Caenorhabditis elegans: one gene and its partners. The protein of the gene in region 1 purifies or fractionates together with the protein of each later gene. This does not show direct contact. Each region holds a gene or a part of one and is shown in the gene's direction. Other genes may lie near its edges. The genes, in order: M18.3, Y59A8B.12 and H20J04.9.

What was found.
Region 2: the proteins of M18.3 (region 1) and Y59A8B.12 fractionate together in Caenorhabditis elegans (co-fractionation; one large-scale study listed by BioGRID). This does not show direct contact.
Region 3: the proteins of M18.3 (region 1) and H20J04.9 fractionate together in Caenorhabditis elegans (co-fractionation; one large-scale study listed by BioGRID). This does not show direct contact.

What each region holds. Positions count from the first base shown.
Region 1 is NC_003282.8:12,102,769-12,108,535, forward strand, and holds M18.3 (Asparagine synthetase domain-containing protein), read left to right. Parts: upstream 1-3,089; 5' UTR 3,090-3,090; coding exon 3,091-3,507; intron 3,508-4,421; coding exon 4,422-4,590; intron 4,591-4,635; coding exon 4,636-4,769; intron 4,770-4,819; coding exon 4,820-5,268; intron 5,269-5,324; coding exon 5,325-5,583; 3' UTR 5,584-5,625; downstream 5,626-5,767. Other genes in the region: mon-2 (Monensin-resistant homolog 2), read left to right, coding at 1-69, 563-876, 1,827-2,011, 2,149-2,306, 2,356-2,652.
Region 2 is NC_003283.11:18,084,256-18,089,438, reverse strand, and holds Y59A8B.12 (MATH domain-containing protein), read left to right. Parts: upstream 1-3,214; 5' UTR 3,215-3,220; coding exon 3,221-3,345; intron 3,346-3,391; coding exon 3,392-3,623; 3' UTR 3,624-3,730; downstream 3,731-5,183. Other genes in the region: slr-2 (Synthetic with Lin-35/Rb), read right to left, coding at 464-571, 1,795-1,918, 1,967-2,070, 2,116-2,231, 2,277-2,306; fbxa-106 (F-box domain-containing protein), read left to right, coding at 4,312-4,357.
Region 3 is NC_003280.10:4,348,553-4,354,319, forward strand, and holds H20J04.9 (Methyltransferase domain-containing protein), read left to right. Parts: upstream 1-2,635; 5' UTR 2,636-2,645; coding exon 2,646-2,909; intron 2,910-3,355; coding exon 3,356-3,718; intron 3,719-4,339; coding exon 4,340-4,519; 3' UTR 4,520-4,606; downstream 4,607-5,767. Other genes in the region: athp-2 (Bromodomain adjacent to zinc finger domain protein 1A), read left to right, coding at 1-397, 1,352-1,685, 1,870-2,001; H20J04.7 (Serpentine Receptor, class Z), read right to left, coding at 4,669-4,896, 5,659-5,767.

The sequences.
Region 1 (5,767 bases):
AAATTTGCAAGTATGGCAACACAACGAATTTCTCCGAATAAAGTTGCGCCTGGTGGACAGAAGAGCTATGTAAGTGTTTTTTATTGAAGGAATATTGCTCGTATGGACTCAAAATGTGCACGAATTTCGAAAAAGGTGCTGATCAAAAACAATTATGACAGGTCAAAATTTCAAAAAAAAAACGAAATTTCGCAAAAATCGTACATATTTTATTAGTTGATCTCGCGTTAATTTACATGCTTGTCAAAAAATTTCAATTTTAGACAAATCGATAGACGGAATATTTTTGTTTTTTCGCTGGGAAAATCGAAAAATCGAAAAAAAAATCTTTATTAAGTAACCACAGTTGGTACCAAAAACATTCAATTTTTATCGTATTACGGTTATGCGAAAGAAAAAAAATAAGAAAAATATAAATTTCTTTGAAAAATAAGATTTTAGCAGAATTTGGCTTTTTTCGAAATTTTGAGAAATATTATTTTTAAATTCGCCCTTCTGAGACCATGTTGGGTATAACAAAGCAAAGAATTATTTAATTTGAATAAATAATTTAAATTTTCAGAGAGACTACGCCCTGACTACAATTGTTCCATTTTCCGAATATTCTCTCCGAATTGCAATCGAATTCTTTACTTCAACATCACAGAATCCAGAAGTTGCCAACTCGCTCATTGCTATTGATATCATAAAATTCCTCGGAGAACCACTTTACATGAAGTACACTTGTATCTCTGCAAGTACTTGGAAACTTGCTGCAACTTCTCTGATGTCTGTCTTGAGAACATCCATTCCATATGCTCGTCAGAATCCAGAAGTTTTTCGAGGTTTATGGTCTGCAATTTGTGATACTATGGAAAGATGGCTTTTTACTCCAAAGTAAGTTATTTTAGATTTGATTTTGGAAATTTTCAACAAAAAAAGTCTCATGGGGAAAATTAGTATAGGTGTAATAGAAGGCTTCTTCAGTATTAATTCGAAAGAAACATTTAAATAACTTTTCTTTCAAATGCTTGATTTTCTGAACTATCGAAAAAATTCTGTTTCAAAAATATACATACTAATTTTAGATTAAAGCTTTTTCGATGACTTTCAGATAAATTAAGAACATTTAGATACATTTTCCAAGTCTCATATTTCGAAAAAAAAAATCAAAACATCAAAATTTACAAACTAATTCAAATTTTAAAAAAATTGAGAATGACTACAATTCAAAAAAAAACAAAAAAAAATTGATTTTTCAAAGGTACACATACTGTATTTTTGAGGGAAAAATCGCAAAAGCTCGCAATATTTTTTTTGCTGTTTGAGACTCGAAAAACCAGCATTTTTAGTTTAAAAAAAAATAATTTTAGAAGTATTTCTATATTTTTTCTACAGCTGTATTTCGTTCCAAACCCGGCGTTGTTTGCCTTTAAAATTTATGTTTCACTTGAATAGAATTTTTTTTAAATCGTGAGCTACAGTAATCCTTTAAGACGAATAGTCTCTTGTATTTGCAAAAACTGGTCGTGTCAAGACCAGGTACCGTAGTTTTTGGGCGAAATTGCTAAATGTTGAATATGGATCAATAGTTTCAATCGAAAATATTCTTCAATTTTTTCGGTTTTTCGAATTTTTTTCAGAGAAATTCAAAACATCGATTGTTAGAAATTTGAAAAAAAAACACTTGTGTTGAAAAATGTACGAAAAAAAGAAAACTATATATTTTTATTGAAAATATGTAATTTTCGTTATGGAAATTTTTAAATTTTTCACTCTTTATATAGCTTAAATAGAAATGCAATTAATTTAAAATTCTAATCTTTGATTTTTCGCTGCGGTTCTAGCAAGTCAACGAGACTGGCAGCAGACGAAAGAAAACGTGATGAACTAATGGAATGTCAGGCAATTGAAATAATTCGAAGTGAAATGCTCGCATATGCATCCCGTTTACCACAAGAAGATGTTCAACGGCTGATTGCACTACTTCATCGTGGCTCCATTTCACAAATCGATTCTACAGATGTTCTTGGTAAGTGCTCGAGAGAAATCGTCTTCTTTTTACTTCTAACACTTCTCACAAAACTAGTTGGTGTTGGTATTCCTTTCCACATTTCTCCATTCTGATTGCATGTTTTCGGTGTACTCGGTAACAACCCTCGAATTCAGCTTCAGACTCGCATACTCAACGAAATGAGCTGGCAAAGGCCTGTTTTGATGCTCTATTGATGTCATCTGATGGAGCACATACAAATACTGAAGAAGACGAAGGAAGAGGAATTCTTGGAAATGTTGCTGTGACAAGTCTTTTACAAAGATGCACACAGGTAGGATCAAAAATAGGTCCGATAAAGACACAAACTACTCTGATTTTAGGTTATGTCTGATTTCTGCAAAGATTGGTCTGCTGCTGGAGATCTTCGTTTACCTAGATCCAGAATACTAGAAATCATATCTGCACTTCAAGCTGTTGACTCACTAATTGCACGACTTGCAAGAGATCCAAAAATGACTGAACTCTACTCGCACTTAGTTTCACTATTTCCATCGGTTGTTGATGTGATGCCTTGCTGCCATGCTGATCCTCAACTGGAACATCAACTGATCAAGACAATCAAATCATATCAAACACTCTTCCTTCTTCAAAATATTCCACAAGCCACCGTGGAATAGCCACGTCACCCTCCAGTAGCCATATTTATTTTATTTATTGGTTCCAGTTTCACTCTGTCTTCATTTAGCATATGGGTTATTAAATTATCGACTATCGATCGACACACAGTTGCCTTTATCCTATTTTTATTCATATTCTTTTTTTTTGCTTCAAAATCTTGTATAGTTTCGAGTACTAGTACCCTCAGAATAACGAGTTCATTTTTTTCTGTGATTCAACGCAAAAACACTTCCCGCTTCTTTTTTTTGATGATGATTTACTTCAATCGATATCCCGGACTATTATGTTGTGAGATAGTGTCTTTTTCATTCTTTGTAGTAATAAAACTATCCAATTTTAAATGCAATGACTTTGAAACTATTTTTTTTTTCTGTCAATATTCTGAGATTTCTTATTGCCAGTTATTATGAAATTTGGAAAAAGAACTGAAATTCAGAATGGGCATTGATTACAATCGATGGTGGCATTTAAAGGATGAAACATTGGGCGAGGAATTAAAAGGATATATCAAAATGATTGAAGAAGATTATCTTGTTTATTCTGGAACCACCTCACAACTTCATGTTTCAAAACTCTCAAATGGATCAGTTAATAGTATTGTTAATGAAATTCTGGAGCAACAAGGATCCTGGAGCATTATTTATTATAATCAGAAATTGAAAAAACTTTTCATTGGAAGAGATGTTTTTGGAAGACAATCTTTGGTTTTTAATTTCGAATCGATGATTTTTGGATGTAGAACAAAGCCAGAAACATCTGGGAAATGGATTGAAATTCCATTCGGACAAGTGACTGTTTTTAGTCTTGATTCAACTGATCCAGTTATTTATTCATATCTTGACGAGTATCCAGAGGTTTGTGCAATTTTATATGAAGTACCGCCAGTGGAGAATTTGCCTGAATATTCTTTTTTAAAAAACCGAAAATTTTCCGATGAACTGCTGAAATTCGGAAAATTTTCAGAATTCGTAAAGTGTTGAAATGTCCGAATAGAAACTTTTTAAAAAATTCAAATTTCAAGCAAGAATTGGTGAATTCTCGTTTTCTTCATTATAATTTCGGATGTGTCGGTAAAAAAGTGGTTTTCTACGATTTTTGAATTCTAATCATAGTATGGTTTTTTTTTCAAACATTCTATTATGAAAAACCTGAGAATGCATATTGCGCAACATATTTGACGCGCAAAATATTTTGTTGCGAAAACTACAGTAATTATTTAAATGACTACTGTAGAGCTTGTGTCGATTTACGGGGCTCGATTTTCGAAATGACAAAAATACTTTATTTATCGATTGAATATCAAAATTCAGCAAAAAATTAGAAAATCCTACGAAGAAACGAAGGAAAATTTTTCGAAAATTGAAAATCACTGTCGATATTCGAAAAAAAAATCATATCGAATTTCAAGCCCGTAAATCACCACAAGCTCTACAGTAGTCATTTAAATAATTGATGTAGTTTTCGCTTCGAGATATTTTGCGCGTCAAAATTTTTTCGCAATAAATACACATTCTCAGAATTTTGTGTTCCCGTAATAGGAGTTCAAACCTGCCACAATGCTCGAAATTCTTCAAAACGTCCAAATTTAATACAAATTACCAAAACATTGATATTTATACAAAATCCCCACGGACGATATTCTACCTAATACAAATAAAAATATAATTAATTAGTTGAAAAAACAATTCCATATTTTTAAAAGTTTTACTATATTTGATGCTTAGGCATTTATTACTTATTTCTGACAATAAATGCTATATCATTACAGAATGTATTGGATGGCTACTTTTCTGGGTCGGATATCTCTCGAATTGTGGTCAACAAGAAACATGGATTATTGAATGTTAGTAGATCAACTGGAGGAGAAATTGACTCATTTAATACCAAAGATCTCTTTCAAAAAGTTATCGATGCGACTAAGATTCTATTGAAAAATTGTTTGTTTTTTCTAATGAAATCGCTTTTATAACATCTAACTTTAGATCATGAAAGCCACGTGGCAGTATGCTTGTCTGGAGGTGTCGATTCTACATTTGTTGCTCATGTTGTACATTCAAGTGTTCCAGAGAATATGCAAATTGATCTAATTAATGTGGCATTTGGTAATAGTGAGAAAGTGAGTTTTTATTTTAATTTAATATCGAATAATAAATCTATATTTTATAGGAATGTGAACAAGCACCTGATCGTAAACGTGCCAGAAAGGCGCTGGAATCATTTCGAACTGCATACCCAACTCGCCAATTTCGCCTCATTCTTGTCAACGTTGATAGCCAAACCCTCGAAGTGAATCGCAAAGAATCTATCTCAGATGCAGCTCAACCAGCGAGTTCAGTACTTGATGACTCACTGTCTTGTGTTCTGTGGTTTGCTGTCAGAGCCGAAGGAGTTGATAGTGAGAATCAACAATCAGTGAGGTCACCTGCAACTACATGCCTTCTGGGATCAGGAGCAGATGAACTTCTTGCCGGATACGCAAGGCATCGAACTCGATTTGAGAAGGAACAAATTCCAGAAAATGTAGCGGAAGAATGTGAAAATGAATTGCGAAGGCTGGGATCGAGAAATGGAGGAAGAGATGCTAGAGTTGCTGCTCAACTTGGGAAGACCATTTTGTAAGTTTTCAAAATCTCCTAATAAAAAAAATAATATGATTTTTGTTATATTTCAGATCTCCACTTCTCGAAGATACCGTAGTCACTTGGCTCAACGCACTTCCAGTCGATTCCAAATGGGATCTATCATTGCCACGTGGAGTTGGAGAGAAACAATTGCTCCGAGAGACAGTGAAAATGTTGGGATCCCCATATGATGCTCCGAAACAGGCAATGCAATTTGGATCGAGAATGGCAAAAATGAGCAACGCTGGTGATAATTCTATCAAAGGAAGTGATAAATCTCCGCATTTATTGAAAACTGATGTGAATTGATGTTTGAATGATTACTTGTTGAAAAATAAATTGATAATTTGGGTACTGTTAATAATAACTTTCTTCCACATGATAAAGAGGATGTAATTTCAGCAGAAATGTAGATTTTTCCTTTTTTAAGTGATCGAAAAAGGCGAAAACGGTGTTTAAGTTTTTCAAGGTAACTTTGCAAATAATTAGTTTT
Region 2 (5,183 bases), on another chromosome or scaffold:
TTCAGTTTTCGTCGAAAAAAGAAAAAAATTCCCGGGTTTTTGAATGGAAAAAAGCTCAAAAACCCTTAAATACTTAATTTTTTAGCTTGAAAATGTGAATTTCTCAAATTTTAGTACATTTTTTCGCGAAAAATTGGGTTTTTTTTTTAATTTTTAAGTCAAATTTTCATCAGAAAAAGTGGAAAATATCTGGAAATCAGCCGATTTTTAGTGCAAAAATGATTAATTTTTACCATTTTTCTAATTAAAACTTCACATTTTTAAGAAAAATGGGGTTTTTGTACGAATTTCAGGCATTTTTCATCAAATTTTCAGTATTTTAATCGAAAATTTCTGGAATTTTTCGATTTTCCGCTGTAAAACCCGGGTTTTCTTCAAATTTCGCGTGTTTTCGCTGGGAAAATCGACGGAAAACTCGATTTTTTCGATTTTTGGGTGGAAAAAATCGAATTTTTACGCGAACCTATCGTGTTTAACAAGATGTTCGCGGAAATGTCGTTGAGATTTCGAAGTAAATTTACAAATTCGAAATGGGCATCCATATGTTGCTGAAAGTCCCGGATGACGTTGTCTGAAAATAGAAAAATTTATAAAAAATCGTGAAAAAATCGCAAAAATCAGCGGAAAACTGTATTTTTTTGCTGAAAATCGGAAAAAAATCGGAAAAAAATCGGCGAAAAATTCACGAAATACCCGAAATTCCGCCGTTTTCTGTGCAAAAAATTGGAAATTGAAAAATTCGGCCAGAAAACTGACTTTTCAGGCCAATTTTCACCTAAAAATTCGAGAAAGCACTGATTTTACACGTAAAACCCAGGAATTTCATCAATTTTCCCTTTTTTTCGCGGAAAAGTCGAGATTCGGTGAAAAAATGACTGAAAAGTCGATAAAATTTGCAATTTTTCCCGTTTCCGACGGGAAATTCAGCTTAAAATGGCAAAATTCATAGTATTTTTTTTTCTATTTTTGGCGGGAAACTGAAGAAAATTCGAAATTTTAGGTGAAAAAATGAAAAAACCGCAAAAATTTCCAGATTTTTCGGTGAAAAATGGCGTAAATCAACGAAAAACTGATTTTTTTCAGCTAAAAATCGCTTTTTAGTGAGAAATTAATGAAAAAAATGGCTGAAAAGCCAAAATTTTGAAGGTTTTAGAATGAAATTCAGCAAAAATTATGAAAATTGTCGAAAAATTTCCACATTTTCCAACATTTTCAGCGTTTTTTCAATGAAAAACCACGCTTTTAGAGAGTTTTCCCGTCGAAAACGCTGAAAATGTTGGAAAATGTGGAAATTTTTCGACAATTTTCATAATTTTTGCTGAATTTCATTCTAAAACCTTCAAAATTTTTCGGCTTTTCAGCCATTTTTTTCATTAATTTCTCACTAAAAAGCGATTTTTAGCTGAAAAAAATCAGTTTTTCGTTGATTTACGCCATTTTTCACCGAAAAATCTGGAAATTTTTGCGGTTTTTTCATTTTTTTCACCTAAAATTTCGAATTTTCTTCAGTTTCCCGCCAAAAATAGAAAAAAAATAATATGAATTTTGCCATTTTAAGCTGAATTTCCCGTCGGAAACGGGAAAAATTGCAGATTTTATCGACTTTTCAGCCATTTTTTCACCGAATCTCGGCTTTTCCGCGAAAAAAAAAGGGAAAATTGATGAAACTCCTGGGTTTTACGTGTAAAATCAGTGCTTTCTCGAATTTTTTGGGTGAAAATTGGCCGAATTTTTCAATTTCCCATGAGCTTTGAGCCATTTTTCATCGATTTTTCCAGGTTTCCGTCCACTTACTGGACATGCTGCTGATATCCAGCAGGTTCCATGTACGCATCATCACAATAGGGACACCGATATCCCCATTCAGCTTTTGGAGTGTGATTTCGGAGTTTATGACGGTGTAGAGTCATTTGGGAGGCTGAAAAATCAATTTTTAGGCAGTTTTTTCGCGAATTTCCGCCAAAACCTGCAGCATAAACGCAATGTTCACATTGAAATGGCCGTGATTTGTTGTGAATATTCATATGCTCTGTATAACTCCGTTTTGACGATAATTCCTTCCGGCAAACTCTGAAAAAATTGAAAAAAATTCGATTTTTTCCAGAAATTTCTCACCCGCAGGTCCAAGTCTGCTTCATTGTCCTTCCATTCGAAGTTTGTCGGAATTTTTGAGTCGTCGGAAGTGCCAAATTCGATGGTCCCGGCTTCATGATGAGATGTTGCCAGTTTTCCTGAATTTCTGGATTATTTACGGAAATTCCCAGGTTCCGACTCACTTTACTGACGAAATGCTCACTTTTCGACATTTCCGGTGGTCTGAAAATCAAGAAAATCGATTTTTTCATCAAAAAACTCGAAAAAACATTGGAAAAATGAGAAAAATCCAGAAAAAATGACGAAAAACCGAGGAAAATAGGCGAAAAATTCAATGTCTCGAAAATAATGCAAGTGCGCTCCATTGGACTCGAAACGGTGAAATGCGCGCGAAATTCGAATTGGAAGAAAAATTTCGGTGGATTTCAGAGGTTTTCAGAGGTTTCAAGCTACCAAGAAAAAAAAATACACTTTGAACATTAGAAAATGTGTGGGAATTTGAAAAATAATTGAAAATCACTTTAGAAGCCCGAAAATTAAAGAAAATCGTCAAGAAAGTGGATTTTAACGAACAAATGACGAAGAAATCTTGAGAATTTCAATTTTTACGTATCATTTCAGTATTAATGTCGATTAATAAACATTTTTTGCCCAATAAAGTCAATTTCCAAGTTTCCAGCGAATAATCTCTGAAAATGCACAATAGGAAAACACAGAAAATATATAAAATTTGTCGTTTTTATTCATATTTTACAATAATCTTCAAAATTAGATGAATTATTCAATAAAACACGCTAAAGTCAAGCAGATATTCCTGCAAATTAAATTCAAATTCAAATTTCCCGCAGTTTTTTCAAAAGTACGCAGTACACCGCGACGCAAAAATGCACAAATCATCATTTTTTCGAATTCGGCGGCGCATTTTGAAAAAAAAGTCTTTTTTGTCCGTTTTTCAGCGAATTTTTTGCTTTTTCCATAGTTTTTTGCTTTTAATTTGAAAATCTACGCTAAATTCTAGTAAAAACTGTGCAATTTGCCACTTTTCCCCCCCTGAAAACCAACATTTTTGAGGTTTTTTCACCTTTTCTCCCAAAACTCGAGTAAAAATTTGAATTTTTCAGCAAAAATGGCCGATAATGGGAACGAGGAGGACCGAAACGGCTACATCATCAACCGAACTCGATTTGCCGCCGATTTTCACAACAGAAATGAAGATTTATCGGAATGGGAAGAGATGCGAGGCATCGAATGGTACTTTTTATGCCAGAAAACTCCCTGAAAACCTTAATTTTTCCAGGGATCTCATTCTTCACAGCGACGGAGGCCAACTTTACACACAGCTGGTCACTCGTTCTCGGCTACAATACGAAATCCCATGCAAATTCCTGCTGGAAGCTCAATATGGACAAGTAAAAGTCGGAGAAAACTTTGATGTGACAGTTTCTTCACGGAATCATACATTCGGAATGCGAATTGACCAACCTGCTGACAATGGAGCCATCAAGATTACTGCTTATATTGATTTCTGAATTTCCACTTGAATTTATGCAATTTGTGATATATTTTTAATTGTAACTATGTGTATACTTTGAATTAATTTCTTATTCTGTCGATTATCAGTGAAATATTGAATTTTAACCAATTTTATGATTATTTTCTCAAGTTTTCCGTAAAGGAAATCAAATATTTCGAAATAAATTCTGTTGGAGTACTGTAGTCGGCGAAGTACGCAATATCAAGTGTTTGCGTACTCGGCATTCTAATTGACGAGCTTCTGGCTCATTTTTAGATTTTCTTGGTTGTTTTTCACTTAAAAGTAGAGATTAACGTTTAAAGTGCGATTTTTTTGCTAATTTCTGCTGAAAAATAGAGTGTTATAACAAAATGTTTCTTTTCGTATGATTTTTCTCTTATTCTTTTCAATTTTCTGGCAATTTCCCTTGGTAAGAACATTTTCGCCAGAAAAATGACCGATAATTTGGAAGAAAAAATGAATTCGTTGAAAATGTAAGAATTTTACGGTTTAAATTGCCACATCTACTGATAAATTGAGTGGACTGAAATTATGAGAATTTGACGGATTTTCAGTGAATTTAACTAAGAAAAAATACACTTTCTCGAATTCAAACCTAAAACTTTTTTTTCAGCTCCAACACGGCCTCTCTTCATTTCAAAAAATAAATCAAATTGACGTGATGAACTTTCTCTGTGTCTCTCATGGGCGAGAGAGTGAGCTTTTTGAGCCGAATTTGTACTGAAAACGGTAAAATAGGCCGGAAACGGCTGATAGTGAACAAAATCTAATAAAAATTTACTAACTGCCTGATCAAACACATAGAAATTATATGAAAAAGGGCAAAATTGTAAATCACCTATGAATACGCCCACATGTGAAAGTTCAAAATTAGTGATTTTCCAGACAAAACTGATTAAAGCCGGCGATTCGCTGATAAATCTTTAAGTTTTTTATTAATATATTGTCAATTAAGACTAAGTGTATCTATTTTTATGCAAATATCTAGGTTAGTGATGTTCACGACGCCGGCAGACGGAAAAACAAAAGGCTACCTCAAAAAATGGATTTTTTCGGGACCTCTAGTGATCCTTGAAAAGAGAAATTTGAAAATTGAAGGCCACCATTTTGTAGATAATTTTTTTCTGATTATTTTCTGTTTTTGATGAAGGTTTTTTGATGAAAATTGACGTCGGCATCTTCAAAACAAGAATTAGGCCTGAAAACTCCAAAAATCGTTAAAAAACGACAATTTTTGGCGGGTTTTCCTAATTTTACGAGACGCACCAAGACATAATCAAAAATTCAACCTCACCAAAAGTTGCAAAATTCTCTAAGGAAGAGATTAAGATGTCAATCACCTGATTTGATCAAAAACTGATTGAGTAACTTCAGTTTTAAGACAATGCGATTGTAATTTTTGGACAACCGCAAGCATAATAGTTGATGTGAACGCTTTTGAAAACATATAACTCGGTAACCAGAAAAGCTATCAAGAAACTTTGAACTACAAAAATAATCTTGATAACACAAGAAACATTTTCTATGTTCATAATACTTGGCTATTCTCACAAAA
Region 3 (5,767 bases), on another chromosome or scaffold:
GTGCAAAGCTGGATGTTAACTCAGATGCTCCAGCTGATTGGATGTGCACCAGTTGTAGAGCTCAACAGAGAAAAGTTGAGAATGAAGCAAAACGAATGGCTCGGGATGATGATCAATTGGCTGAATCTTCATCACAAGAAGATGTTGCAATTGGAAATATATCGATTAGCGATAATTTCTCTGAAATTGCTCCAAAAACTGCTGAGCCAGCTGAGAGCTGTAGCACCCCGACAACTTCTAAAGAGCCGCCAACTATTCGAACTGCAAGTGGTCGGGCTGTAAAACGAGTTCATTATTCTGATATTCATGAAGGATTAAGCTTGAAAAATCGGAAATCCAATGGATCCATGCCAGTCACACCTTCGGAGAGACCTGTTAGAAATGTTTCTGTTAGAATGTGAGAGTTTGGAATTTTTTTTTTTGACGGAAAACTTAAATTTTCTGCTGAAAAAATCGTTCAAAATGCCTTTTATGATTTTTTTTTTCAGAAGTTTCATATTGTTTGTTAAAAAAAAAATTAAAGAAAAAATTTCCTTTTTTTTGGAAAAATTGAATTTTAAATCTGAAAAATTGGTTAAAAACCGTTCAAAACACTGAAATAACTGAAATAAATTTTTTTAATTAAAAAAATTAAATTTTGAAAATTCAATGGAAAAAGTAGCATTTTCTACTGAAAATCCATTTAAAATTTGTTCAAAAAAAATTTTTTTTAAAAAGAAATACAACTTTTTTTGTCAGAAAAATTTTAAAAAGCTCAATTTTTTTTCAAAAATTGTAGAAAAAATTATAAGATTTGTTATTAAAAATTGCTACAATTTTGGACTTAATTTTCCAAAAAAACCAGCATTTTTTTTCTGAAAAATCCGTTCAAAATTTGTTTAGAAACTATATATTTTTTAAGAAATTCGAGTTTTCTGAAAAAAAAACTTTTTCCTCAAAATTTGGAGTGAAAGTTTTGTTTAAAAACATTAAAATTTAAAAATTAATTTTATAAATATCCTAAAAATAATTATACATATTTTGAAAATTCCTGAAAATTCTAAACATTTGTAAAAATTAGTGGTTTTTTTGTAGTTTTAAAAAAAATTTAACTTTTTTTTTCAAAAAAAGTAAAACATTAATATTCAAAAAATTAAAAATATTATTTTTTAAATAGTTAAAAATTCATTTTTTTTTGTTGGAAAAATTGAGAAAAAGATAAGAAATTTTGTTTGGTTTTTTTTAACCGCCAAAATTCAGGTGTACATCAATTTTTTTGAAATTTCTTAAAAGTTGGAAAAAAAATTATTTTCAACTTTAAAAGGATATTTTAAAATTCGAATTTTTTCAATTAATAAGATTTTTTTTCCAGATTTGACGTTGAAAACGAGAATGTTTTAACTGATGAAGATGATTCTGACGGTGAAAATACGCGAAAGCGAAAGACACCAACATCCAAGAAATCAGTCACATCAACACCGACTACAAATGATATTTCCCGTGTCATAATACCAAATATTAAAGAGAAAATGACATTAATTGAGACATTATTGAAAGAAGCAATGCGTCAAGAATGTTCATGGCCATTCCTTCAACCAGTTGATTCGAAAGAAGTTCCAGATTACTATGACGTCATCAAACGGCCTATGAATTTGAGAACTATGATGAATAAGATTAAGCAGAGGATTTATAATAAACCTATTGAGGTTGATAGTTTTGAAATTTGACAATATATTTGAAAAAAAATATCCAAAAAAAATTGCTTTCTGCAAAAAAATTTATATTTAAAAATTAGCATTTTTGATATAATTAAAATTTTTTAATTAAAAAAACAAAGCATTAATTTTTTTTTGTTGAATTTTTTTTGAAAAAAAACCGCCAAAATTCCAGGTTCGCAACGACTTCCAACTAATCCTATCAAATTGCGAGACGTACAATGAGCCGGAAAATGAAATCTACAAGCTTTCTCGAGAACTTCACGATTTTATGGCGGATCGTCTCGATGAGATCATCGATCAATAAACATATTCATTTCATTTTTCTGTTACTTTTTTTTCTTGAATTTCTACTTTTACCCCCCTCACCTATCAATTTTCATACTTAAAAAAAATTCAAAATATCCATATCGTAAATCCACACAGACTACACAAAATCGTATCTCAATTGTTTTTTTTCGCTCTTTTTCTCTAGCTCTCTCTCCTTTACTATTTCCTAGAAATGTACTCATTTTCTGTTAATTTTTTTTTACAATTTTTTCGTTCACATTTTCTTTCTCTGTCGGTCTTAACTCAACCGCTCCCCCGTTACAAAAATCTCAGTCAAAAAAAATTAATTTTGACACGTCATATTTGTTGTTCTTGAGGTCCCCCTGTGACTTTTCAAAACGTTATTTTAATTGTGCTATTTTGTGTCAACTACTGATGAAAGTCATTGAAAATGAACTCGTAAATTTGAAATTTTAGTTTGAATTTTCGGTTTAGGAGCAGTTTTCAGTGTAGAATTAGCACTATATATTGAATTTTAGAATTAAAAAAATCGAAAAAAAAAATTTTTTTTTAGGGTTTCTTTTTAAATTTAGAAGTTCAAAATGGAACATATAAACTTGCCATTAAAGGGGCGCGGCTTAATAATATTTTTCAAATCAATAAATTTCCAGCTCCAAAAAAATGGCTTCCCAAAAGTTAACAAAACTGTTCGCCAACTCATTTAAGCTGGCGACAAGTGATCTCGCAAATCAATACGCTCTACCGGTTAAATCAATGACTGGAATGATTGTGAGCAAGTATGGTGCATCGAAATCCAGGCGGCTCAATGAGAAAGTCGTTGAGAAAATGGATATTGGGAAAGATGATTTTCTATTTGAAATTGGATTTGGACGAGGAGATGCTATGAAAATGTGCTTTGATCGGGTTAAAGACGGCCGGGGAATGGTAGGTGGAGAGGGTGTAGGCAGGCCTGCCTGAAATGCCTGAAAATTGTAAAAATCTGTAAATCGTGGCCTAGAAAAAGCAAAAACTCGGCCACCGATTTATTTAATTTTTTTCCCACAGACTAATCTGAAACTTTGCCACCCGATAGTGGCCGAGTTTTCTCTTTTTCGCGGCCATGAAGCTCGATGCCGGCTAATGTATTAAAAAAAAACCCAGTCAGATGCACCATGTCTTCACTTTCGCGGTGTGCATTTTGCCACGTGTGGCCTAGAAAACAACTCGGCCACCAATTTTAATCGTATGTTTTAAACAAATTTTTACACCTTCTAGGTGTCCCAAAACAACCTCTTTTCTCGGCCGTGGCCGAGTTTTCTCGCCTCACGGCCACGTAGCAAATCTGATCATTTTCACATTCTCTTTTTCTCTCTAACACCTAAAATTTCCAGGTATTCGGTGTTGAAAGATCCGGCTATATGAACGAACGAGCCATCAAACGATTCGTTCTGGAAATCGCCGAAACCGATAAAATCCGCATCGATTCGGCAGTTGATCTACGGAATCTACCGTATCCCACTGATCTATTCAATCATGTATTCCACGTGGATCTCTTCTATTTTCTACAACAAAATGCACTGGTAAACATTAATCGGGAACTGCTGAGAGTTCTGAAACCCGGTGGAACATTGATTTGTGGAATGCAATTCGATCGGTTGAAGAAATTGACGGAAAATCGAATACTTGAGGAGAATCAGTGGGATCCAATGAGATATCTGTGGGCACTGGAAACGGCGGAATTTAGTGATGTTAAAGTGCTTATTATATTGAGGAGCAAGCGCGCTCCACTGCAAATTGAAAACTCTCCGCCCCCAAACCATGGGTCTCGTTAGGTATTTGACTCCAAAACCGTAAATTCGAAAATTAAAAAAAACTTCAAAACTACAGTATTCCTACAGTGTCCTTACAGTACTACAACAGTACTACTATAGTACTCCAATAGTACTACTACAGTACCCCTACGGTACTCCAATAGTACTACCACAGTACCCCCGTAGTACCCCTACAGTATTCCTACAGTATCCCTACAGTACTTCTACAGCACCCCTATAGTACGAATACAGTATTCCTACAGTGCCCCTACAGTACTCCTACAATACTCATATAGTACTACTACAGTATTCCTACAGTACCCCTACAGTACCCCTACTCTACTTCCATAGTACTGCTACAGTACCCCTATATTACTACTACAGTACCCCTACATCCTACTGTACCCCTATAGTACTATTACTGTACTCCTACAGTACTACTACAGTAATTCGCGGTTCGGCCGCCAAATACCTAACGAGACCCATCATTCGGGGGCGGAGCATTTCCATTTGGCCATGGAGCGCGCTTGCATCACGATTTCAAAAAGCAACACTAAATTCCAGATCAACTACCATAAGGACCCCCAAATTGGTGAATATCAAATCATCTCGGCTACAAAATCTACTGATCCTCTAGCTGGACAAGATCCTGAAGAATTAATGAAAAAATTGGCGATGGATATGAAGAAAGAACGACTGGCCGAAGCGATGATGAATGATAAAAAGAATTTTGAAGATCTTTAATTTTTTCGGTTAAAAATGTTTTTTTAAAATAGGTTTTTAATGATTTTTTGTTGTTATTTTTCGCTATAAAAATAGGTACTTTTGAAAATTTGTTTGGAAGAGTAACATTCTTTATTAGTGTGAAAAATTGGAAAAAAGTTTAAAAAAATTCAAATTTTCGCGCCAGTTTCAACACTAGATTTCCCATGCTCAGGTCCCGGTGCAATTTTATTTCTGAATATTCCACTAAAGTACAGATTCAGTAATGGCATGGATATTTCCGGGAAATGATTGAAAATTTGAAATGTTGATGCGAAATGGAAACGAGCATCGCCTTCCTCAGAATCTTGTTCGAAATATTTTGTCTTCATAAGGATGTCGTATGGAATTATTATAATCTGAAAGATGTTAAATTATATTCCTACAGTACACAACTATAGTACTACTACTGTACTCCTACAGTACCCCTACCGTACTCTATAGTATTCTTACAGTACTCCTACAGGACCTCTACTGGACCTCTACAGTACTACTACAGTATCCCAACTCAATATCCCTTCAGAAGACAACATGTTTTTCCAAAAACTACAGTATTCCTATTATCAAAATATAAAAACTGTCACATAAAATTTGACTACAGCGACGCACGCGAAATATTCGCTCTCGATTCTAGAAACGTCAGTTTTTGCGCTGTATCTTCGCATTTTCTCGTCTCCCGTTTCTGTCATCACCCGTGGTTCCAGCTGTTTTTACGGCATGAGGAATCGAGAGCGAATATTTCGCGCGCGTCGCTGTAGTCAAATTTGATGTGACAGTTTTTATATTTTGACTTTACAGTATCCTACGTTACCCCTAAACCAATATCCCTTTAAAAAAAGTATTTTTTTCCAAAACTACGGTAATCCTACAGTAGTTCTACAGTATCCCCATATAACTCTTACAATACCCCTACAGTACTTCTACAGTACCCCCCCCCCAGTTTCCCTACAGTACTCCTAGAGTACGCCTACAGTACGTCTACAGTACCCCTACAGTATATCTAAAGTACTGCTACAGTACCCATACGGTACCCCAGCTCAAGATTTCTTAATTTGCAGCAATCCTAAAATACCTTTACAGTACCCCTAAAGTACCCATATTCCCTAACCCAAAAAACTCACTAAATATAAAATAGATGTGATAAGTATTTCTATATGAACACTTTTCTCCTCTCTAGACATATTTGTGGTATTTATAAGAACCTTTTTATTTTTCTGTCTCTTCAAATAG